Linked DNA regions of Struthio camelus. The protein of the gene in region 2 interacts with the protein of the main gene of each other region in a pairwise test. Links are inferred from orthologs where the notes say so. Each region holds a gene or a part of one and is shown on either strand. Other genes may lie near its edges.

The links.
Region 1: the proteins of CCDC57 (region 2) and tyrosine-protein phosphatase non-receptor type substrate 1-like interact in a two-hybrid assay, tested with the Homo sapiens proteins (2 studies listed by BioGRID). The two-hybrid records come from large-scale screens. The link is inferred for Struthio camelus from reciprocal best matches to the Homo sapiens genes CCDC57 and SIRPA.
Region 3: the proteins of CCDC57 (region 2) and SFI1 interact in a two-hybrid assay, tested with the Homo sapiens proteins (2 studies listed by BioGRID). The two-hybrid records come from large-scale screens. The link is inferred for Struthio camelus from reciprocal best matches to the Homo sapiens genes CCDC57 and SFI1.

What each region holds. Positions count from the first base shown.
Region 1 is NC_090959.1:18,179,400-18,187,276, reverse strand, and holds the start of tyrosine-protein phosphatase non-receptor type substrate 1-like, read left to right. Parts: upstream 1-4,876; 5' UTR 4,877-4,922; intron 4,923-7,877. Other genes in the region: signal-regulatory protein beta-1-like, read right to left, coding at 307-651, 949-1,015. UniProt on the Homo sapiens protein: Immunoglobulin-like cell surface receptor for CD47. Acts as docking protein and induces translocation of PTPN6, PTPN11 and other binding partners from the cytosol to the plasma membrane.
Region 2 is NC_090960.1:98,434-106,400, reverse strand, and holds the start of CCDC57 (coiled-coil domain-containing protein 57), read right to left. Parts: upstream 3,078-7,967; 5' UTR 2,993-3,077; intron 2,938-2,992; exon of another isoform or gene 2,740-2,937; intron 2,731-2,739; exon of another isoform or gene 2,334-2,730; 5' UTR 2,235-2,333; intron 1-2,234. Other genes in the region: SLC16A3 (monocarboxylate transporter 4), read left to right, coding at 5,020-5,067, 7,195-7,438, 7,819-7,962. UniProt on the Homo sapiens protein: Pleiotropic regulator of centriole duplication, mitosis, and ciliogenesis. Critical interface between centrosome and microtubule-mediated cellular processes. Centriole duplication protein required for recruitment of CEP63, CEP152, and PLK4 to the centrosome.
Region 3 is NC_090958.1:8,296,756-8,304,304, reverse strand, and holds the start of SFI1 (protein SFI1 homolog), read right to left. Parts: upstream 3,050-7,549; 5' UTR 2,971-3,049; intron 2,784-2,970; exon of another isoform or gene 2,721-2,783; intron 2,335-2,720; 5' UTR 2,270-2,334; coding exon 2,250-2,269; intron 210-2,249; coding exon 15-209; intron 1-14. Other genes in the region: EIF4ENIF1 (eukaryotic translation initiation factor 4E transporter), read left to right, coding at 5,088-5,207. UniProt on the Homo sapiens protein: Plays a role in the dynamic structure of centrosome-associated contractile fibers via its interaction with CETN2.

The DNA.
Region 1 (7,877 bases), on a different chromosome or scaffold from region 2:
CCTCCCTGGGGCTGTTCCTGGAGCAGAGCCAGGCAGCGGGTCAGGGAAGGCGGCTCTGCACCACCTCTGCCCCGGCTGCCAGGCAGCTCTCCAGGAGGGACCCCCGGTTCACCCGGGGCGCCTGCTCGCTCCTGCCGGCGGCGGGGAACGCGGCCGGGCAGGGGAGGGGACGCAGGGCCCTCCGCCCAGCCCTGCCCGTCCCGGGACCAGAGCCCACGGTGACGGAGGGCGGCTGCGCCCGGCGGGGCTGCTTCCCGGCCGGGAGCTGCTCTGGGGGGTCGCGGCACGGCCGAGGGCTCCACTCACCACGCACAAACACCTTCGTGCCCCGTCCCGACGCATACCGCTCATTCTGCCCGTCTCCTTTCTTAAACTTCACACAGTAATAGGTCCCGGCATCCTTGACTTGGATGTCACTGATGTGGATGGTGAAGTTTGTGCTGGATTCATTCACTGCCCTCGTTACGCGGGGGAAGGAGCCTTTCTGCTCATAAATGAGCTCTTCCCTGCCGCCCAAATCCTTCAGCCACTTCACGGGTCCCACTACAGGGAGCTCAGACACGGTGCAGTGCAGGGTGAGCGTCTGCCCCAGGGACACGGACACCTCCGCCTGGGGCTGCTGCAGCTGGAAGTTCTCCTTTGTCTGGGCACCTGCGCAGCGAGAGGAGGGGTCGGGGCTGCGAGGGTCCCGCAGGCAGGGCGCCGCACGGCCACCGGCCCAGCCACACGCCCGCCGGCAGCGCTGCAGGGCCAGGGCGCGTGCCGGGTCCCCGGGACAGGCGGGAATAAAGCGAACTCTTCCACTGGGGATAAAAGCAAGGAGCAAGGGGAGAAGGTGAGGGGAGAGCCCCGAATATGGTCAGGCGCAGGGGAAGGACGGTTCTGCCGGCGGCCAGGGAAGGATGCAGGAGAGCGGGGCGCCGAGGTGGCCCCGTGCCCGACACTCACCCGTGGCTCTGCAGAGCAGCAGCAGCACCAGGCAGGCGAGAGCCAGCGCCGGCGTGGCCGCAGCCATGGCAAGACCCGCGTCCCGCTCCCGACCGGCTCGGCTCGGCTCAGCCGGCTCGGGGGCTCGGGGAGGACTTATCGCAAATGGGGAAGGAAGGTCACGACAGCAGGCGAAGTTCCTCTGCCACCTCCATGCAAGGCCGGAAGGTTTCCAAATCGTTTTCGCCTTGACACGTCACGAGGTTGCGTGCTTGCCAGCCGTCGGGGCTGCAGAGCCGCCGTCCCACGAAGCGGCGCTGCGGCGGGTCTGCAGCCCCGCGAGCCGCCCTGCGCCCGCCGCCGCCGGGGGCCGTGGGCGCCTGCCGCCCCGCGCGGTGTCTGGGTAGAGGGGCCTGGGCAGAGGGGACGGCGGCGTGGTGCAAGCTTCGCCTGCCCGCCGCGCGGGCTCCTCTCGCTGCCGCTCCTCCCTGCAGGCCGGGAAATCTCGCGCGCAGCTCTGAAACGTGCAGCCTGTCCCGAGGCGGCCGCCTTCCTCGCGCTGCGCCTCGGCTGCAGGCTCCGGCAGAGGCGCTCCCCTGCCCCGGCCGCGGCTGCTCCCGGCGCCGGCCGCCCCTGCAGCAAGCTCCGTGCGGGCAGGCTGCGGTGCGCGCAGAAGCGCTTCGACCTCGGATGATGCATCTGAGGGGTTAAGCCCTGCTCTGCTCCCGGCCGGCGCTGCCTCCCGGCGCCCGGGTCCGGCACGCAGCCAGGCAGGCACCAAAAGCGTTAACCGCCCGCGCCCACTCGCTTCCATTTCCTGTGCAGCTTCTCATTTTCCTTCTCCTGAAGTTGGAGCTGAAACTTTCGGTGGCGCCGATGGCTCTGCGGGCGGCCGCCGTGCCTCCCCTCCTCGTGCAGCTGCTCAGCCTGTGCCCGGCCCCGCTGGCGGGTGAGTAGGGCGCAGCGCCCCGGCGCTGCCCGCCGCCCGGCCCCGCCGCTCCGTGCCCTCTGTCCCGAGGGACGCATCGCGCGGCAGGGGACAGCCTCGCTGCCGGGGGCTGCAGGGCTGCGTGCCGTTCCCCGGGGGCGAGGGAGGCGCACGTCTCTGCCGGCGTCCCGGCGCTGCCGGGCTGCAGCATCTCTGCCGTTTCGCCCGGGGCCGGGCGGCGAGGGGCGCGCGGGGTGCCCGGGGGGTTTGGAGGCAGGAGCCGGGCTGCACGGAGAGCCAAATCCCGAGGGCCGGGAAAGGCTGCGGGCCGCCTGCGGGCTCGGGGCCGGCTGCCCGATAAACGCTGCCTGCTCGCGCTGGTGGTTCGCGGCGCGTCCTGGCTCTTCCTCCCCGGCGTTGCTCCTTCGTCTGCCTCTGTAGACCCGGAGCACCTGCAGCATCTCGCGGCAAGCAGCCCCCCGGGTTGGGGGGGGCGAAGGATCTCCCCCCGCCGTCCGCTTTGCGCCTGCCCTCCGCCAGCCCCACTTGGGGCAGTTCGTCCCTGATAGCGCTCAGCGAAAGCGCCGCGCAGGCGCCAGGCGGCTGCGGGGGCTCTGCCCGGGCCGGTGCGAGCGAGGGCAGCCGGCGGCTGCCTGGGGCGCTCACTCGGCCCCGCTGCAGGTGCCGGCGCCCGGGCGGCCGCGCGCGTCCAGCTGCAGCAGCCGCAGGCCGAGGTGTCCGTGTCCGTGGGGCAGACGCTCACGCTGCGCTGCGCCGTCTCGGAGCACGCTGGAGCGGGACCCGTGAGGTGGCTGAAGCCCTCGGACGGCAAGAACCGGACCATTTACGATCAGAAAAGCTCCTTCCCCCGCGTCACGAGGGCGGCGAACGGCTCCAACACAGACTTCACCATCCACATCAGCGACGCCCGCCCCGAGGACGCCGGCACCTATTACTGCGTGAAGCTTCGGCCCGGGTCGGAGGAGCAGGTTTATTGCTCGGGGCCCGGCACGACGGTGTCGGTGCACGGTGAGTCGGCGCCCCCGCGGCCCCCCGCCCCGGCACCGTGCCGGCGCCCGCCGCTGAGGCTCGTGTCCCCGCAGAGAGGGCCCCGTTTCCCAGCGTGGCCGTCGCCGCCGCGGCGCTCTCCATCCTCCTCCTCGTCCTCCTCGTCGCCCTGTGCGTCTACCAGCGGAAGAGGGGAGGTGAGCGGGGCGCCGGGCGGGCTGGCCGGGCGCTGGGGGCTGCCGCGCGCCCCGCTCACCCCTCCTCTCCTTCGCTTGGCAGGGGGCAGCCCCGGCAGCCCCGGGTTGGCACCCGCCGCCTGCCGCCGCGAGGAAACTCTGCCTTCTCCATCTGCCTCCAGGTTTGCACCCGCTTCGGAGACTTGGGTTTTTCCCCCCCCCGGAAAAGAGCTTGCATTCGTCGGCGCGTCGCTGCGCTGCGTCGCTCCCGTCCGCGTCAGCCCGGCGGTAAAACCCGCCAGCTGGCGCCCGGGATGGGCCGGGGGCCGCCGGGAGCCCCGCGGGCCGGGGGGGGCGGCTGCTGGCAGCGCTAACGGCAGTCCTTCTCCCCCAGCAGCCGCGTGCCGGACGCCGAGACCTCACCTCCGCCCGGCCAGGTAGGAGCGGGAGGCGAAGGCGAGGGAAGAGCCTTTGCCAAGGGGGTTTGGGGACGCGGCGGCTCCGGGGCGGTTCGGGGGGCAGCGGCGGCGGCCGCCGGGCCGAGGGGCGGCCGCGTTGCCGAAGGCGCCCGCGGGCTCCTTTGTGCACGGTTCCCTCGCGACGGCCTCACCCACGCGCGGCTCTCGCCGTTGCAGCGGGCCGGCGGGCCGGACGCCGACGTTCACTACGCCGACCTGCGGCACCTGCCGGCGGCCCCGCGGCGGGCGCGCAGCCCCGGCGCCCCCGGCACCGAGTACGCCAGCATCCGGCTAGCTGCGCGGTAAAGCCTGGTCCCCAGCCGCGACGCCCGGCCGCGGGCCCGTGCCGGGGGACGAAGCGAGGACCTTTTCTGCGGGACGCGAGGAAGAAGCGGCAGAGGGGCCCGGCTGGCCCCTCTCGGCCCCTTTCAGGGGCACTTTGTGGCCCCAGGCGGCTCGGCGCTGTCCTGGCGCCGCGGGCCCTTGCTGGCTGCCCCTCCGGCCCCGCCGCGCTCAGCCCCGGCGATGCATCGCCTTTAATAAGGCGTCTGCGAAGCCGCCCCAGCGGCCGGGCGCGCGGCCGGTCGAGTCCCGGGCATTGGCGCTTCCCCACGCCGCCGGCGGCAGCTGCCGGAGCCGAGCAGCTCGAAGCTGGGAGCACGCGGCCGCCGCGCGCCTCCGCGGCCGGGGACGGAGCGCCTGGCCGGCTCGGCCTCCCCGCCGCCAGGCACGGCGCCTGCCGCTGGGCTGAGCACGTTTCCGGGCCGGGAAACCTTGCGCTTCGGCCCGTCGCTGCTGCCTGCGCCCCTTGAAAGCTGTTTGCAGATGCCAACTTCCAATTTCCTTTCTCTGTTTTTTTTTTCTTTTTTTTTTTCTGTGAAATCAAAATAGAGAAGTGAAACAAGACAGCGTGCAGCGTCTGCGTGTGCATCTAGGTACCGGGGGTTTATCTGCGAGCAGAGAGATCCTGCCGACGGGCAGAGCGCTGCCGGGGAGGGAAGCCGCTTACGAAACCCATTTGCATGCGTGTCGCAGGGGACATGTCTTAACACCTGGGCACGCTTTGGGGACATTTCTTTTCTCAGTGGCAGCGCCGAGTCCTGCATGCAGCGCCCCGGCCGCGGGCGCAGCGCGGGGACGTTTGCAAAGGCAGGAGCAGGGCGGGGGCCCCGGCGCCGCGGTCCCGAGCTCCGGCCGCGAGCCCGGACCCAGCCGAGCCCCCGAGCCCCGCGGGGCAGTGGCAGAAGCTGGGCCGCGGCCTCGATGAGCGGCGACCGGTTCCCCGGGCAGGTCAGCAGCTGGCGCGAAGCGCGGGCCGGAGTGCCCCGTGCCGGCGGCCGCCAGCGCCGCGTCCTGGCCGCGGGCCGCCCCGAGGACGCCGGCAGTGGCTGCGTGCCGCACGCCCCAGCGAGGACTGCGAGCAGCGTATGTAAAACCGGCGGCTGAGAGCGAGAGCGGGGAGACACCTCGCCCGCACGGGGCAACGAAATCCGATTTAGGGCGTTTTTCAGCATTGGGCTGGGTCGGGAGGGGGAAAATCCAGCGTGATGAAAGCATATGGAAAGCAGCGAGCGGCGGGCTGGGAGCGCTGTGCACCTGGGAAAGGGCGCAGGGCTGCGGCTTAGTGCCCGGGAGAGGGATTTGGTGGTTATTGTGGGAAAATCCTTTAAGCCAGCAGCCCGGGTGTGCCGGCAGTGAAAGCACAAACAAGCGGCCGAGCAGGTAGGAGCGCGGCCGGGCCGGGGGGCTGGGGCGGCCGGGGGGCAGCGGGCGCGGGGATTTGGTGCCGATGCGGGGCGGTTTTGCCCCAAGCCGGGCGTGGGGAGGGCCGGTGTGAACGCTGCGCAGAGCCGGACCGGGCGTTTACCCTTGGTCCGCTCCCTCCGGGACGGTGTTATCGGCACTGCGGCGGGGGGGAGCGGGTGAACGAACGGGCCGGGAGAGTCCAGCCTCGTCCCTCGCAGCCGGCTGACGGCGCAGGCTGATGCAGCCGGGTCCCGCTTTAGTGGCTGCTTCTGTCCCCGAGACCTGGCGTCCACCCGAGACGCCGCCCGCGCTTTGGATCGCCCCCGGGGCTGCACCGGCGCCGTCCCCGTCCCCATCCTCGTAAGTCCCCATCCTCGTCCCCTTTCCCTGGGGGCTCCCCAGGAAGCCCCGTCCCCGGAGACGTGGGACATGTCCCGCGCCAGGCCGCCGCCGCGCAGCAGCGCTGGCATCCGACGGCACAAGCAGGGCCCCGGCCGGGCGCTGAGACGCTCTGAGGGGATTTCGGAAAGGTTGGGAGGGTCCCGGGGGGTGCTTTGAGCGCCCCTAGGAAAAGCCACGCGGATCTCTACCGGCTCCTGCTGATTTATCCGGGCTGCGCTCCCGCGGGGAGAGGGACCGGAGGCAGAGAGGCCGAGGACGCCGCGCAGCCAGCGCCCGCCCCAATCGCACCGCGCTATTCAGGCGACGTTTCGGGATGCAAACGCTAGCTGGAGAGCTGAACGCGCCCAGCTGGCTCGTGGGGAGCCGCCTGCCGCAGGTGCCCCCCGCCGAGCGCCGGTCCCCGCGGGGCCGTTCGGCTCCCGCACCCGGACCGCCGGAGCGGGCAGCCGACAGCCTCGCCGCCAAATAGGCATGTCGAAAGGGGCATGTTTTTTGGGGTAGGGCCGCCCCGGTTGGCCTTTCCGTGTTTGCACGGTGCCAGACGGGCCAGGGCACCCGGCGATACCCACGGGGATATCCGCGCTCTGGCCGCGGCCCTGCACTGCTGCCGCCGGTGGTCCCCGGTCCCGCACCGCCGCTGCCGCCGGTCCCCGGCCCCGCACCGCTGCTGCTGCCGGTCCCCGGCCCCACACCGCTGCTGCCCCTGGTCCCCGGCCCCGCACCGCCGCTGCGCCGATCCCCGGTCCCGCATTGCCGCTGCCACCACTCCCTGGTCCCGCACCACCGCTGCTGCCGGTCCCCGGTCCCGCACCGCCGCTGCCACCACTCCCTGGTCCCGCACCACCGCTGCTGCCGGTCCCTGGTCCCGCACCGCCGCTGCTGGCTCTCTGCAGCCAGCTGGCCCGTCTCCTGCGCGCCAGCGCGGGCGGCATCGCCTCGGCCGGGCTCCTGCGGGCGTCCCACCGGCCAGGGACGGCGACGCGACCCCGCCAACCTGCCCCTTCTCCGCTCTCTGTTTATCAGGGCAGGATTTTCACGGGGAAGCAAGGAACGGAGCGGAAGTAAAATGGTTACGTGCTTTACGCTGTTACTCATTTCGTGTAGTACGTATTGAATCCTGTTCGCTGGTTTCACGGTTATTGCAGATTTTTATTAAAGAGGATAAACAGTTTGGGGATTCGGGGTTGTCATAGGAACTGCTTTTGTGCCTTGTCCTCACCTCCGGCGCTATTATTCCCCCCAATTTCATGAGTTAGTGAGGGCTCAGCTCTTTCCAGCCCCATGGATGTTTTTCCAGCCCCATAAGCACAGCTTGAGTAAAAAACACTCGTTACGGAGGAGCCGCCGTCTGCCGGGCCGAGGGCGCTGGGCCGGGCGGGGGGCGCTCAGCGCCGCCCGCGAACGGCCCCGCGAGAGGCCCCGGCGCCGACGGGGAGCCCGCGGCCCCGGCACCGCTGCAGCCGGGAGCCAGCGGAGCGCGGCGCCGGGCAGGCGGCCCTCGAGGCTGCCGCGGGGCTGTGCGGACTCTCCGGCGTCTCGTAGCAGGTTGTGCCCAGGCTGCTGCGGCCCCGCCGGGGGGGGATCGCACTCCTGCGCCCGGTCCCGTTTTTGTGAAATCCCCGGCGGCGGCAGCAGCAGGAGGAGGAGGAGGAGGACGGCAGCTGGGCTCTGCCCTGCCCGGCCGCTCTCCGTCACGGGGGGACAGGCAGTGAAAATGAAAGCTGCTGAACACGCTTCCCGCCCAGCGACGAAAGGAAATCCCTTGCGCCCGGCCCGCGTTTAGCCTGCGCGGTCCGTCGCCGCAGGACGTCGGGGAGGCCAGCGCTCCGGCAAGCGCGAAAGAGGGATTTCCCAGGTCCGCCAGACGAACAGGAGCAGCCAGGGCTCAAGAAAGACTCGCCTGACGGGCCGTTGCTCGGGGACGGGGAGGAGGATCCGGCGGCAGCGCCCGGCCCGGGGCCGGCGCCCGCAGAGGAGCCTGCACGGGCCCGAGGGGGCTCCCGCCGGCTCCGGCGCCGTCCGGGTGCCCCTCCGGCCTCGCAGACGCTCCGGCGGGGGATAACGCCGCTGAGCCCCCTCCCGGCTCGCCCCGCCGCTGCCGCCAGCCGGCCCCGGGTCGTCGGGCCCCTCTCGGGCGCCGGAGACCCCCTTACCTCTGTCCTCCTCCGGCTTTCAACCCCGCCGAGTCCCGCGGGAGCGCGCGGGAGGCTGGGAGCCGCCGGCGAGGTGCAG
Region 2 (7,967 bases):
CTAGTTACAGTTGTATTTATAATTAAAGAAAATATTTATGCAAGTATTTTACATCAAGATTAAAAAAGCTATTCCTTTCTTGGTAAGAAGAAAGTCACACTAGTATTTTTCCTTTCAGCTTCAAGTTAGTATGCAGATCTGTGGCTTGTTCTTTTGCTTATGGCCCAGAATAAGTTGGGGGTCCTTGCTCATATCATGCTTGTTATTTAAAAAAAAAAAAACCAACACCACCACCACCAACCAAAACAACAATATAATTCAGTTTTCCCAAATAATATAATGAGCACTGTTTTAACATGCGCATTATTAAAAAAGCAGAAAAAGCCCGACTTCCTCTACAGATCAGTTAATACCCAGATAATATGAAGACACTGGTCACCATCCTTTGTTACACATACGCTTGCAGCATGAGCAAGCATGTGCGTTGTTCAGGCCGGTAACTTGTGATGTACAGTGTTGCAGCTCCAGCAGCGAAATAACACTATAATGGTTGGAGCATAAGTGGGGACAGGAGATTGATAGTAGGTGTTGGCATGGAACATCACCTACAACTATAGACAGCACAGAAATACTGCATGGTTTTTCTTGGGAGTTTTGAGAGACAGATGGATGAATGGGGAAAGCTGGCAAACCTTTCAGAAAGGCGGACACAGATCCTGCAGAACTGGAAAACTGTCTCTGATAAAACAAAGGAGGCCAAACTGGGAGAGTGAAAGTGACTGCACGGTGTGAGGGGGAGGAGAGGAGGTCATGGAAGGCACTGGTAAATACGGTAATGATTTTGTAGGGGATGGGCATTTGCAGCAGCCTTTGGAAATGGATGTTTAACTAAAATGGCTGGCACGTAGGCAGTTGAGACACAAGAAATGCACTCTTGTGTCAGATCAGTGGCCCATCAAGATGGCTTGTAGGAAGTACCCAAGAATGAACTGTAAATAAATGAGATGATAGATGAGAATTTAAGATATATGAATTAGTGTTTAGAGCACCAGGAAATAGTTAGAATCAGGCTGGGTAGGCAGATGCCTGTGATACATCCTTGTAAAGGGTAGTTGTTTTGCAGTAGAGGGCTATCAGCAGGATCTGGAGGATATTGAAGTAAATTGATTTTTGGAAGGGTCATTTCCTGCATGATTTCAGTGAAGATGGTTAGTCCTAGAATTCTTCACTCAAAAAATGAAGATAATAAATCTTTTGTCTCGCTTGTTTACATTTTAATATCTTTGGGCAAATACAGGAGGTTTAGGAGGTTTAAGACTCCTATTACCATAGTATCAAGCATCCTACACTTTTCAGTGTGTCCATACTCTCAATACCCTATGAAGAGAGCAGTATTATTCTCTAAATTCCATGGATAAGAAACTGAACGTGGATCTCTACATTGATCAACTTGGACACTCTTCCTCTTGTGACTGTACAACAACCCAGTAGGATTTCAATCTGAACTGGGATCCCTATATGGAAGTGCAAGACCTTGTTTTCTGTTTGATAACCACTACTTATTACTAGCCTAAGAATTCAAGGTTGGATAGATTTCTAGCACATCTGCCCTAGTTAAATTAATTCAAGGGAAGTCCTCTAGCTATACAGGAGGTCAGCCTACATAATCACAAACGTCCCTCCTACCCACACCGCTGGCCCTAAAGTACTGCTACATGGCAAATAAAGGTACTGGCTAAACATCAGCATTAGATTTTTCTTATTTCTTGGGGCTGCTTTTTATAATGTAAATGCTCTCCTTGTATATATACTGTACCATTGCACCAAATCCGCCATCCATAATGCTAACAATCAATCACCTAATATTTCCTCCTAAGGGTATTGTATCCTGTGTTGGTTTACAAGGGAATAAGGAGATGATATCAAGAGCATGAAAGCACACAGGTTTAACCACATTTGCCCTTTGTTTCACATATTGCAAAAGCAAGAGCCCGTTTATGATAGACTCTGGAATAAATACTGGCAATTCTGTCATGTCTGCTGTATGGACTGAATCTGAGCTACAGCCAGTTAAATGTGATCCTTCTCTGACAAGGCTAAGCTAGCAAGAGCAGAAAGAAAAAAATGAACTTTAGTAATGGTTACACAGAACCCTCCTTTTGGCAGGCTATGACCTCAATAGTGAGCACCGGAAGTGAAATTATATGAAAAAGTTTTGTTTCTGCTAATCAACCATGAGTCCAGCTCTTCCAACCCTAACCCAAGCTTGCACAACCTCTCACACAGGAACTTACCCATTACTTCCTTATTAGCGCTTAAGGAGGTTTAGGCAGTCCAGCCGAGCCAAGTAACGGGCTTCTCGCTCCACGGCTCCACGAATCGCGTCTTCTCTGCTGTATTTAAAGAGACAGGGTTCATTTAGTTCTGGTTAATGCTTTTTTAATTCTTACGTATTGCCATGAACTACTGATGGATTAAACCAGATGAGTAAGATTGATGTAGAAGTATGCCTATTTAGTCCAATTTTAACAGGGTGGTGTTCGAGGGCCTGATGGGTTGTTTTCTGGTGATTTTTAGCCGTGCACGCTAATGGACATTTATGATGAAAAGAAGAGTAAATGGATGTTATTGTTTCCCCATAAGCCTATTTTTCTGGAAGGCTGGAAGTAGGCCAAGCCCCCCACAGCTACCAGTCTGCCCCTCACATCACAGTAGAAAATGGTTTTAAAGATTCCTACTGCTAGGGCACACAAAGTGTGATCAGCCCCATAGGCGAGGTGGAACGAAACACGGCTTGACCTGCTCTGCTAGGCGGGGAAGCGGCACAAGACCCGCCAGGGCGGAGGGCGTTTCTCCCCGTCCCGAGCAGACCGGGCTCCGCGGAGCGCCTGCTGCGGGCGCTGCTGTAGCCTCGGCGCCGCCCAGGCCGCCGCGCGCGAGCCCCGTCGCGGCCGCGCTGGCAGACGCCGAGCTCCGCCAGACACGGTCGCCCGCGCCGCCTCCGGGAAGCGCGCTAGGCTGCCTCCGCCTGCAATTACGGTAAGAGCCCCACCCATCCGCCAGTCACGTCCTCCACGTCTCAGTGCGGCGGCCGCCCGGGCGCGCGCCCCGCCGGGGTGGCTCGCGCCGCCGCGCGCTCTGCCCGGAGGCTGGCAGCTCAGCGAAGGGCGGCGCTGGAGGGTGCTGGGGCCGCCCTCCGGTCCGGGTTTGCACCAGCTACGGTGGCATCGCGTGCTGAGGCGGTTTCGTGCTCACCGGGAGAAATTCCGTGAAGCTTTGACGTTTTTTTCCGGATAGAACAAGTGTGCTGCCAGATAGCTTTTGATGCCAGTTCCTACAGAGAGCCACTTGCCGTTGAGATGGTTGGGATGTAGTTTTATTGTATGGGTCCAGCACGGGAAGTCTGTAGAGATTACCATCAGAAGATCTTTGCTATAGATTCAGTAAAGGAGACTGTCCTCGCCTGCGTGCAGGAAAAGCCACAGCAGTGGACGGCAAGAAATGGCTTATTTCTTCCATTTCTAGGGCTGAAGGTTCCAGTCCTGCACGGTATAAGTGGTCTGGAGAAACTGCTGCCTGGTATTTTTCAACGAAACATGCTCATGTCGCAGTACTTATTTTATGTTGCCACTAGATGGCTCATTATAAAAGAATAACAAGTGAAATTTACTCTTCCACCAATATTTCAAACATTCACTCCAGCTGAAGTGTTCTGTCTCCCTCCCATTTTGGCACAATGGGCGTGATCAAACCCCATTTCCCCTAGATTCTTGCAGTTTTATGTTTCTTATTCCTGTTAGTCATAGAATTGAGCTGAGACACTTGAATCAACGTTTTCCTGTTCTCAATATTACAGAACTACGAGTGTCATGAATGTATTACACTTAGTGCACGTACTCTGTGTTATCTGGTTGTTGCTTGTAAAAAACAATCCTTTTTGAAGAATACAAACTCGTTACTTTGGCTTGGGTTTTATTTCACTCAGAATGATTCTAACAATGTTTTGATTTAAAAAGTGTTATTTATTAGGGGTTTACACTAGCAGACCTTTAATACACATTATATTGTCATCTGGTGGGTGGAGAGTGGAAGAGCAAGTAGGTAGCAGAACAGCTTGCTAGATGGATTGATTGTAAAGCTATTGAACAGCTATTGAACAGTATGCTGATGTCCCAGGAACTTCACTTGTCCAGGTACACCAAGTTTTCAATGAACTTCTGTATTTAATATTTTACTTCCTTCTTTGACATATTACAAACGCCTTTTTGCTCTTTGTCTGGATGGAGAAAATGCATAACTGCATATTAACCAAGTTGTCTCTCCACCTCTTTTTTTTTGATAAGCTAGTTGGATGTTTCCTCCCTGGAAGATTCTTTATTTCCCGAAAGACTATTTTTTTCTGTATTTCAGATAGAAATTCAGTCCTGGATTTTCAAACGTAAGCAGGAAAGGCAAAATGAAATAAATGTCCACAATAGTAGAATTCAGTAGAGGTTTAGGGGTTTTTAGCATTGAAGGCTGAAGTGCCTAAATAAATACATAGCAAAACATTCAGTGAGTATAAAGGAGAGGAGATTTTTTTGGAGAATTCGAGGAAAGTGAATTTAATATTACCAACCAAAAATCATTATCACAGACTGCTGTATGAATGTGCATCATACAGAAGTTACTGGGAAAACAGTTTTGAAGAGGGGACGGATCCCAATGTGAGGAGAGCTTGCAGACGTGAGGTCTGCATCTTAAGACATGTTTAGAGGTCCAAAACTAGTGACTAGGTCCAAACTCGTGACTGCCCAGTCTGACAAACTAAGAGCATGTTCTTATGGCAGTCAGCAAATGAACCAGACACCTAGAATCATGGCACTGATTTTAGGATGCTTAGTTTTATTGTTTTCTGTTTCACTCCATGTTTAACCACTTTGGAGTCTAATTGCATGGAGTTCAGACATACTGTTACCTGCTTATATTTGCAGAAAACAAGAGGTGCAGCCAGTAGTATGAGGCTTATTGTCCTTCTTGAACAGCCCAGGGGCACAGATCAGCTATAGTCGTGGCCAGGTTTACATCTGGGTCTTCTATATGAAGTTGTTTCTTCCAAGAAGCAGCAGTGCTGGTCTAGATGTCATAGTAAGTACATTCATTCAGGCCTATTAACAATCATGCAGTCAGTGCTCAATTGTCTAGACAGCGAGTCTGCATCAACAATATTGTGTCATATATAGTCTGATTCAGAAATAGATCTGTTAAGAACTACATAATTCCAGTGCATCGCTATCACTATATTGGCCTATGCTTTTCAAAGCAGAAGCATTCTTTACTGAGGGACATCTCTGATGTGCAACTGTGCTTGCACTCTTCTTCCAGGTAGCATTACAGTGGAACCATGACCCAGTGGGAACAGTCATTTGCATTTCTAAACAAGTGATTAAATTTTACATAAGCAAGATTAATATATAATTTGTTTGATGCTTCACTTTATATTTTCAAGGCTTCTATAATAAGCATATCCTATAGAAACCTAATTATATATGCAAAAGTAGAGAATGCATCAAATATACATTTGACAGGAGAAACTGGACATTAAACAAATGCCACTAGGTATTAGAAAACTGCTACTGCTATTTGTCAGCAATTAGTCCGCTTTGCTCCCAGCTACCTGTTCTACTCATACCTATTTTACTCGTTTATAAACCACTTCCTGTTTCAAAAGATTGGTAGCCCTTATGCCTCCTCCAGGGTTTTTTTTTTTTGAGAGTCTTTCTTACTTTTTTGCTACAAGCTCAACCTTTTAACTCTCCTTTATGCCAAGCAGAAGAGGTTTTCCTATGACCCTTGCCCGGTACCTAGGAAGCATTTTGTAGGCTGTGATCACACGGTACTAACATGTAACTACAAGTCCCAGAATATCTACCTGAAGGGCAGAAGTAAGCCATGGGCCTAACTTCAAGGCAGCCGCTCACCCTGGAACACGTGTATGAAAAGTTGTTTTGGAAAAACTGCTTTTAAGGTTATACTTCAGAGGAAGCTTCGTGTCTGAGAAGCCCCTTATTTTCTGAGTTACTAGCTAGCTTCTTTTTTTGATATACTTGTCAACTGGAACACTATATGTTTATAAGTAGACTTATCTGAAAGTGCATTACACACTGAAATGTCATTTTTAAATGAGGTTTTTTTGAATCAAGGATGCTATTGGATTTTTTTGGCCATTTGCCGATGTGTTCATCTAGCACAGATGCTGTATGCATTGAGAAGGGGTTGTAATTGTGTCTAGATTTGTGATGCCCAGTATCTCCCTGCTATCTCCACATAAATGCACACTTTATCTGCCTTTTCCACTGTCTTTTTCTCAGCCTCTCTCTCTCTTTTAAAACAGCAGCATTACTGCATAGTACATAAACGCTGGTGCAAGAAAAGGTTTTTATTAGGGAGATTTAAAAAGGAGTTTGTGGCTGCATATGGAAGATGTGAAGAAAAAGATTCAGCAAATGTAATACTGGGAAATTACATTGATAAAGTAATAATACCACCAATGGAAAGTATTGCTTCAGGCAGTCTGAGATACTGAAAAGAAATTGCTGCAGTTATTAACTCTTTCTTCCACAAAACTTTCCCATGAAGTTTTTCATTACAGTTTAGCTTAGGTATTTATTTGATGCATGGAAATTGATAGCTCATCAGAAGCTGTAAGGTGTCTCAAGATAGCTATGCATTAGGGCTGTACTGCTGTCCTCAGTAAGGAACAAAAAGCCCGAGTGCTATGTCCACTGTTGCAGAAAACACTTGTGATAGACCAGCAGTTTGCATCCAGGTCTCCTAAGTGAATAATTCAGTAGCTTCACATAGCGAGGCCTTGTAACAAAACCCGCCCAGACCCTAATGCGGTAATTGCTACGCTTTTATGAAAGCCAAATCCATCCCTAAACAGCTGCAATGGCTTCAGTTTTCTGTGAAATGGTGGTTTGGTTGAAATCCAATCAGTTTTGACTTTGAGAAAGCTATGAGAGGACATTCACTTACAATTCTACTGTATGGGTCTCATTTCTATGTAACTTTGCAGGTTTTAACTTGACAAAACTCTGACAAGGAATAGTTAAAAGTAGCCCTGTGTCTTCAATATTGGTATTTAAAGCAGTCACATATCTTGTTTGTAACTTTAATTGTAGTACAACTTCTACCTTGGGGTAATTCGGGTAAGATTACTGTCCCAATGTCTATAGCCCATAACCGTGTGGTGTTTTTTTTTTTATGTCTTAGGGAACACTTTTGAGTTTCATCATGGGAGCTGTAGTAGCTGATGATGGTCCATCTGGTGTTAAAGCCCCTGATGGAGGCTGGGGCTGGGCTGTCCTTTTGGGCTGTTTTATCATCACAGGATTCTCCTATGCCTTTCCTAAGGCAGTTAGTGTATTCTTCAAAGAACTTATCCGGGAATTTGGCGTTGGATATAGTGACACTGCATGGATTTCCTCCATTCTGCTGGCCATGCTTTATGGGACAGGTAGGTAGTCACCCGTTTTTGAAACAGTATTGCATGTAAATCATACAGACATTTATATCGGGAATCATCATTGCATTATCACTACTGAGGCAAAAATTAAGGCATTCCAAAGAACAACTATTGTGGATCACGTCAATCCAGAAATCTAAGCGCATCCACCTTGCGTATAAAAATTAAATCCCTGTAACTAAGTAGGTACGAAAGATGATTAAAAAAGAAAATGTGCGTGGCATTCTGAAGAGGAAAACAACTAACTGTATGACTAAACCCTCCCAGGTTGGCCCGACAATGTGGGCAAAGTAAGGAAAGAATTGCAAACACAAAAATAAATTGCAAAAATTGGTTTATCGCAGTAACTGTAACTCGTTCTTCTTGTTCAGGTCCACTCTGCAGTGTATGTGTCAATCGCTTTGGCTGTCGCCCTGTCATGCTGGTGGGTGGCCTTTTTGCATCAATGGGGATGGTCATCGCCTCCTTCTGCACGAGCATTGTTCAGATCTATCTAACTGCAGGTGTGATTACTGGTAAG
Region 3 (7,549 bases), on a different chromosome or scaffold from region 2:
TTTGGTCTTATCACCTGATCTGGAGTTCTTTTAACCTTCTTCCTTGATTGCAGATACACCCAACTGGACATGGACTGTGATGACCCCCGTTCTGAAATCGATGTCCAGCAGATCGTGGAGCAACACACTGACAAGCAGCAGAGTGACCAGCTGCATGCATTTTAGGTCTATGCAGTTGTTGGGTTGCACGCATCTTCAGAGATTTTGAACTTAAAAAGGAAATAAAAGAAAACATACTGTGTGTAAGACCCTGTTAATTGTAAAGAAGCGGCATCATTTCTATGGATTAACCTATAACAAAGCTATACAATCACATAGAGAAACTGACAGCTACCCAACGTTACAACACATTTAACATCTCTCTTGTCACGCATTATTCACTAACTTTATTTCTGGAATCGTAAGGCCATTTCCCCATGAACGGCAGTAAGTCAGATTTCAGAGCAGTCATGTCACAGACAGTTCCTTTCTCCTTTAAAGTTGAAATGAGAAAGAACTAAAATGCATTTGTGCTTCCCCTCCCATGTACTTATATACAGTAAAAATTAAGGCTTTTACAGAAAATAATAAGACTTAAATGTGTTTTTCTGCCTTTTTTTATTCTTGAACAAATCAAGCCGTTTTGTCTACTGCTGAAAAACTCTCTTGAGGACTACAGAACTGAGGTGAGGATTTCTCAATGATCACTTTAATAGGAAAGCCACTTACACATGCAGTCTGTTTACAAGGAGATCTTCCCTAGTTTTGCTTATACTTGCATCAGTTATGTTTTTTCTTTAAGAAAAAAATTACTAAAAATCCCTTCCTGTCTTCATATAGCCATCATTAAAAAGCAAAATTAAGTACATTTTTCCATTATGCAGTTTATTTTGAAGCCTAGCTCTAATTTGAAAAATAACATTTGAAAAATGTTTTTACAAATTCTAAGTATTTTGCCTCAACAATTTTCTGAAAACAAGCATGATAAAAAAAAAAACTAACCAGATAAAACCTGTTGAACCAGTTGTATTGAAGCTTCTTTCTCAAAACAAATACTGTCACCACCCTGAAAATTTGCACATTAGAACCACAAAAACATTCTTGAACTCCTTAACACTCAACAGAAGAGACAGTCTGAAATCTCATCCCAATAATCACCTGAGGAGAGCTAGGAAAAATATATGGCTGCAGCCAGGAAAAATCTTGGTCCACAGTTATTGGAATAATCCACACTAATAGGTCTCAGGAGTTCAGCTGAACACCAATTCAAAGCATTCACAATAAATTAGAAAAAAAATTCCAATATTAGTTAAAATCTCATAGAAGAAAAAATAGTACTCTTGGCTCATTCCAGCAGGCTGCAAGAAGCTAAAACAAACCTAACGAAAGAAAACAAGACCTGTAGTTTGCCACAGAGATAAATTCTTGTTCCCCTATAAAATATCATTTTGATTATTTTCTGAAAGAGAAGGGCCACATCTGGCAGACAAGAGAATTCTGTGCATGTCAAGATGTGCAGCTGAGGCAATTGCGTGCACTTTTGAAGAAAAGAGTTTCAGACACTTTTTAAATTATGCAAAATTGCTTCCAGTACATTTCTTGCGCATTTCTATTAGACCCAGTTCCCTTCAAAACCTTCTACTCTATTCCAAAGGTAAACTTAGTCTGATCATGCACACAGCTGCAACATCACAGAAAACAGTAAAAATCAAGCATGGGTGGAACATGTAGAAGTTTGTATTAACAAAAGTCCAGGGCATGTGAATATGTAATGATTTTTCAATAAACATAATTTATAATAGATTATTCCTAAATATCAAGAACCGTATGTGAGAGCTATTACATATATGCAGTGACGGCAACCCATGCGCTTGAGAATTTATGTGAAGTAGCCAAGAAAAATAAGGGTTGAAGAAGGATCATTTCCCTTTTTTAAGTCAGGAAATAAAAACATGTGAAAGATAAGAGAATTGCTTAATATCACAGAGGAAATTTGTGCCTGGGCAAGCAATTGTATCCAAGTATCTTATGACCCAGTCTAATACCTGAAGCTCAAGAACTTCACTTTTGTATTTTAGCGTTATGGTAACATAAACCACAAAGGTAATTCCCCCCCGCCAAGAGGTACATTTTCTGATTAAGAGTCTTCCATGGAAATTAATTAAAAAAAAAAATCTTAATTTGTTTCTGTGCCATGGAACGCATAAGTTGTCATAATGAAAATAATACGCCCGAGTCCTTTAACAAAGCAGCATCTTACTACTGCTTACCTGCTCTTGCACTTCTCCATGTTGCCTACAATTCCCAGCCTGCAGTAAACAAGCGCACTCTCTGCACAGGAAGGTTGTATGTTATCTTGGGACAAAGCATAAATTATTTCTTGTTATTTCTGATGTGATCAAATCCCATCTATGCTAATTTCACTCTGCAGCTCTTAAAAACGACCTGAATTCCCCTCACCCACCCTGCGCGCAGAGTATAGGGCAGATGTTCAGCATGAGCAGCGTCCCCCTGCACGCCCAGGCCCTGCGGGCTCCAACGGCCCTGTGCCGGCAGACCCTACCGGCCACGGACAGCGGCAACGAGCTGAACGCTAAGACCACAGCAGCGCCTAGCTAAGCAGGGCCGTGACTGGAAAAGGGCTGTAAACTGGCCAAGAGGCCCTAAGCTACGTACCCGCTGTTTCCAAACCATCGAGGTGTGGGAAACCTGCTACCTACGCTAACTGATTCCTTTCGTACCTCCTCGCGTCGCTGTTGTTTACAGACGCTACCCCCTCCCTCCGCAAGCACGCGAGGACGAAGAAAACGAAACCCTCAACACCACCCAGGGCCAGCCCAAACCCCGCGGACGGCGGGAAAACCGGCTGCGGCTGACGCAGCACCCCAGCGGCCCCCCAGGGAAGGAGCTGCCCCCCCCGCTCCCTCCTCCCGCCCTCCGCACCCCCTCACGCTCCCCCCCGCCCCCCGGCTGCCGCCGCCGCCGCCTCACCACAGCGCGGGCAGCAGCAGCAGCAGCGGCGGCGGCGCCTCAGCGCGGCGCGCGCCGCCCGCGCGCAGGGAGAGGGGGCGGGGCGGGGGCGGGGCGAGCGCGCAGCGGCCCCCAGCAGGCGGGAGGGGCGGCGGCCGCCCCGGGCTCCCGGCCCCGGTTCGCCGGTGGCCCGGGTTTTCTGTGGGAGCGGCTGTGCTCCCTCGCAAGGCGCGAAGCAGGAGGATCGGGGCGTTTATGGAAGCTAAAGCAAGGCGAGAGGCCCTTCAGGGCCCCCCGCGGCGCTCGTCTCGGGAGCGTACGCGTTACGGCGTCAAGTTTCCAGCAGTCGCAGCGCTGCCCTATTCGTGCTACAGCACTTAGGTCTGTCAGCTACGGAAAGACTGAGAAATGTTTGGTTTTGTTTCGTTCCACAGGTGACCGCACATATAATCTTTACTACTGACGTTTCAGGCAATTGGCAAACAGACGGACAAACCCCCCGCCCGTTCTTCAGCAGCGCTGCATGTGCTCCCCGTGCAGCTCCGTCCAAGGAGTTTGGGGCATGAGGGGCCTTAGGGCCCCCGCCCCGCTCCTCGCTCACGACCTGCCGGCAGCCCCCGCCCCGGCTGCCCCGCTCCCTCCCGCGTTTCCCCGCCTGCTCTCCTGCCGGCACGCCAGCTTGCACCGAGCGGAGGTGGCAGCCCGATAAAGTGCGTTTTAAAAAAAAAAAAAACCTTCTGAAGGGCTGTGCAGCGTGTAGGCCACGGCCTGGCTCGTTTTTTTTTTAACGTACACTTCACTGTTTTAAAGGGTAAACCGCCAAACCCATGCAAAAAGGGCTACGAATGGAGGCGGGCGGTATGTGTAGTCCTTTCCGGCTCGTCCCTTCACCGTCTATGCACGCGCGCTCCTTCAGAAAACAGCCCGTCGAGGCCGTTTCGCCGGGCGCCCCCCCGGCGAAGCCCGCACGGACCGAAAACGAAGGCGCCTCGGCTCCTCCGAGCGCGGGAGCCGCCCTGCGCCCGCAGGCACGGCGCCGGGAAGAGGAGCGACCCGGGGCGGCCGGGCGGGCCGCGCCGCTGTCAAGCGCGATCGCCGCGGCCGGGGCCGAGGCCCAGGCCGGTCCCGCCCGCCCCGGGCGCATGGCGCCCCCCTCCCCCCCGTCCCGCCGCCTCCTCCCCCGCGGGGCTGCCCGCGGCGCGCGCCTGAGGCCCCCCCGCGCTGCCCGCCTCTCTCCTCACCCGCCGCCGCCGCGCTGGCCGCCACAGACGGCGGCGGGGCGGCCGCCTCCCCCCCCGCCCCGCGGCGCCCCGCCAGGCCGGCGGCGGCGTTGCGCTCCCCGCCGCCGCCGCCCGCCCTTTCCAGTCAGGCGCGGCGCGGGGAGCCCCGGCGCGCGCCCGCCGCCGCGCCTGCGCGCGGGCCATTAAAGGGGTGCGGGGCGGGCAGCGGAAGGCCCCGGTTACGGCGGCTGAGGAGAGCCAGAGTCGGGCGAATAGGGAGAGGGCGCGCGAGCGAGCGAGGAGCCGCGGAGGGGCCGGAGCCGCGCGAGCGGAGGCGGCGGCGGGCGGCGGCGCCGGCCCGGGGCAGGTGGTGGTGGGGGAAGGGAGCGGGTTGGGAGCGGGGCGCCGCCGCGGGCAGCGCCGGGCGGCGGAGCGGAGCCGGCGGCCGGGAGCAGGAAGCGCCGCGGGCGGCGGCGGTGAGGCCTGGAGCGGAGCGGAGCGCCGCCGGGAGACCCGCCGCCGGCGCGGTGAGTAGCGGCCGCGGCGCAGGTGGGGATCCGCTGAGTCACCTGCCCCGGCGCCCCCGCCCCCTCAGCGGGGCGCGGGGGCCCTCGGCGCCCCGGCACGGGCCTGGGCCGGGCCGCGCCGCGCTGCCCGGCCGCCCCCGCGCTGGGGCTCTCGGTGCCGCCGCCCCCGGAGCCGCGGGCAGCGGCCGGCTGGCGCCGCTCAGCCGAGGGGGGGAAGCGACAAGTAGGAAAAACGTGCTGTTGTGGCTGGCGGTGGTGGTTGTTAGGCGTCACATCTGGAGGATGGTTTGGGGGGCTGAAAGGAAAATGCACCCCTTTCCCCCCTTCCCCCCCCCCCAGAAACGCGTGTCTTAAAATTTGATGCCTTGATTTTGTTTTTTTTATTAGGTCCATGGCCAAAGGCTTTGAAGTAGCCATGGATAAAAGAGGAGGTGTAACGGAAACTGAAAATGGGGATGCTTTCCTTGAGTTGAACAGAATTACAACGAAATACCCACATCGTTACACAAAAGTAAGCTTCTCTTCCCCCCCCCCCAAAAAAAAAAAAAAAAGAAAAAAAGGTGCCTGAAGCTGTTGCTCACAGAAGTAGAGTTGGAGGCAGAGGTTTCCCTGACTTGGAAAGTCCAAGTCAGACTTGACTGACTGGTCGGTTTTGAGAGGCCTTTGTTTGGGTTGAGATTCTCAAGGTGGCATGAGACAAGCAACTTGTTTAATCTGAAGCGACTGTGTAATCTTGACTGTCCTTCATATATACTTTTGGTTCCCATCACCTTATTATATCTGTGCACCTCATAGCGTGCGCTGGGGATGACATGGTAGAGCCTGAAGTATGTTGTTCTACCAGCTTTCTCAAGCACTTGCACTTCATTGTTTTAGTTCTACTTTCAGCAATGTTTCTTTAAGAACACGACCAAAATGTTTACTTGTCGTATGATGCTACTTTCTTGGGATAGGTAGTATGCCAGATCACACTGGCACTTTATTTCTGTTTGGATGTTTTCTTAGAACAGGTCTTGTTTGGGAGTTAGAAGCTTAGCACTTATGCATCCAACCACTCTTTAATGTTAAAACTTTAACACAGGTGCCCTTGCTCAGCTGTGATACCTGAATGTATGAGTGGAAGAACCTCGTTAAATAATGTGCAAATAAACTTACCTAGTGTTAAAAAAAATCTTTGATAAACCATGAGGTTTTTAAGGTTCAAATTCTGTTTTGGATCTTGGTGCTGTGCTGAAAGATGACTTTTTTTTTTTCCTTAGAACAAAAGCCTTTATGAAGGTGGTTGATATTTTCATTGTTGAAAGCTGTGGAAACAGGTGGTCATGGCTTTGCAGAAATCTATTAAGATATTTTGCAACAAAGGGCTTGAAGTGAGGAAGAGAGAATGAGACAGTGTACTGTTGCTGACTGTATTATCTTGCCTGAGGAATTCTGAACTGTTAGTTTCCTAGTAGGTTGTTTTAAAAAAAACTATCATTGTGTCTCTGTTCCACTGAGATAGTGGAACTAGCTTACTTTCACCAGACATCAACAATGGCCTGAGTATTTCAAAACTGCAAAACTTATATGGGAATAGTATGGCTTCTCTAATTCTTTTCTTAGAAAAGATGTTCTCTTAACTTTCCAAGATGCAAACTATAGTATTGTTCAGAACTTGTTATTCAGTTACCCCTAAAGCAAGGGGGGGGTGGTGGCTTTATCTCTGAACGTTCCCTGTTCCTAAAAGCTATATCTGTTCTCAGTTGATCTCACTCAGCTCTTCTCAAGAAGAATAACTGAATGCAACTTGAGATTCTGGTGGCTGTTTTGAGCAGTATTCGGGCAGCACTGATGGTAGTTGTACAATGAAATTGGTGCAGTTGTAGCTGCAGCTGTTAACTCTGTACCCCTAATTCTGCTCAGAATAAAGTGACTGAATTATTGCCAGAAGGCAGCTAGTCTTGTTTATCTATCTGCTTCCACAGAGCTTGGAGTGAAGAAACATATATAAAAAAATAAATCCATGTTAAAATGTCCACATAGTAATATTGCTATTTTTTTTTTACAATTAACATGCCTTAAATGCAGCTGATTTAAGATGCTCATGGGATTAATATTAAAAGCTGTTTTCACATGATCCAACTCCCTATGGGGCGGGGGAAAGAAATAGTACTTCAGGAGATATACTGATTTGGAGGAGGGCCTGTTTTCCTTTGACAATTTATATTCACTTTCTACTGGTGGGAGAACGACTGGTTCACACTATGAATCCTCAAACTGCTTGAATAATACTTCCTAATAACAGCTAAACACACCTTTCCCCTTACCTGCTTGAAAGTACTGCTGGGTGAATCAAAAAAAACTGTGAAAGTGCTAACACTAATCTCCTCTATTATGAGGAAATGTGTTATATTCTCAAAGCTGTGTCTTTCCTAGTTCTTTAAAAGCTGTTACTCCAGCTAACAAGTGAAAGCTTAAAAAAAAACAATTCAAATCTTCCTCACTTCAATGGAAGACTTGCAATAGAATTTGATTGGAAGTCTAGGGACTCCCTCTCGTGGCCAGCAAAATAGTAAATATGAAATCTGATGGTGGACAATGCCATTAATACTTCTGATATCTACATCCAGACTATGATAGTATTACAGTACTAATGTTTCTCACAGGTCATAATTTATTTTGGGAGGCTGTGGGTGCAGGCCAGTCTGCCTCCCTTTAAAGCTCTGCTCTCCAGGCTGTCTGGTCTTGCTAGGAAAATATAACTCTTTATGGTGAAGGCTAATACAAGTTAATGCTGGGAGCTCCCTGCTGTCTGGGACTCCCTTCTCTGGTGCAAGCCCTTTCCAAGCAGCAGCTCTTCTTTTCGAGAAAGAT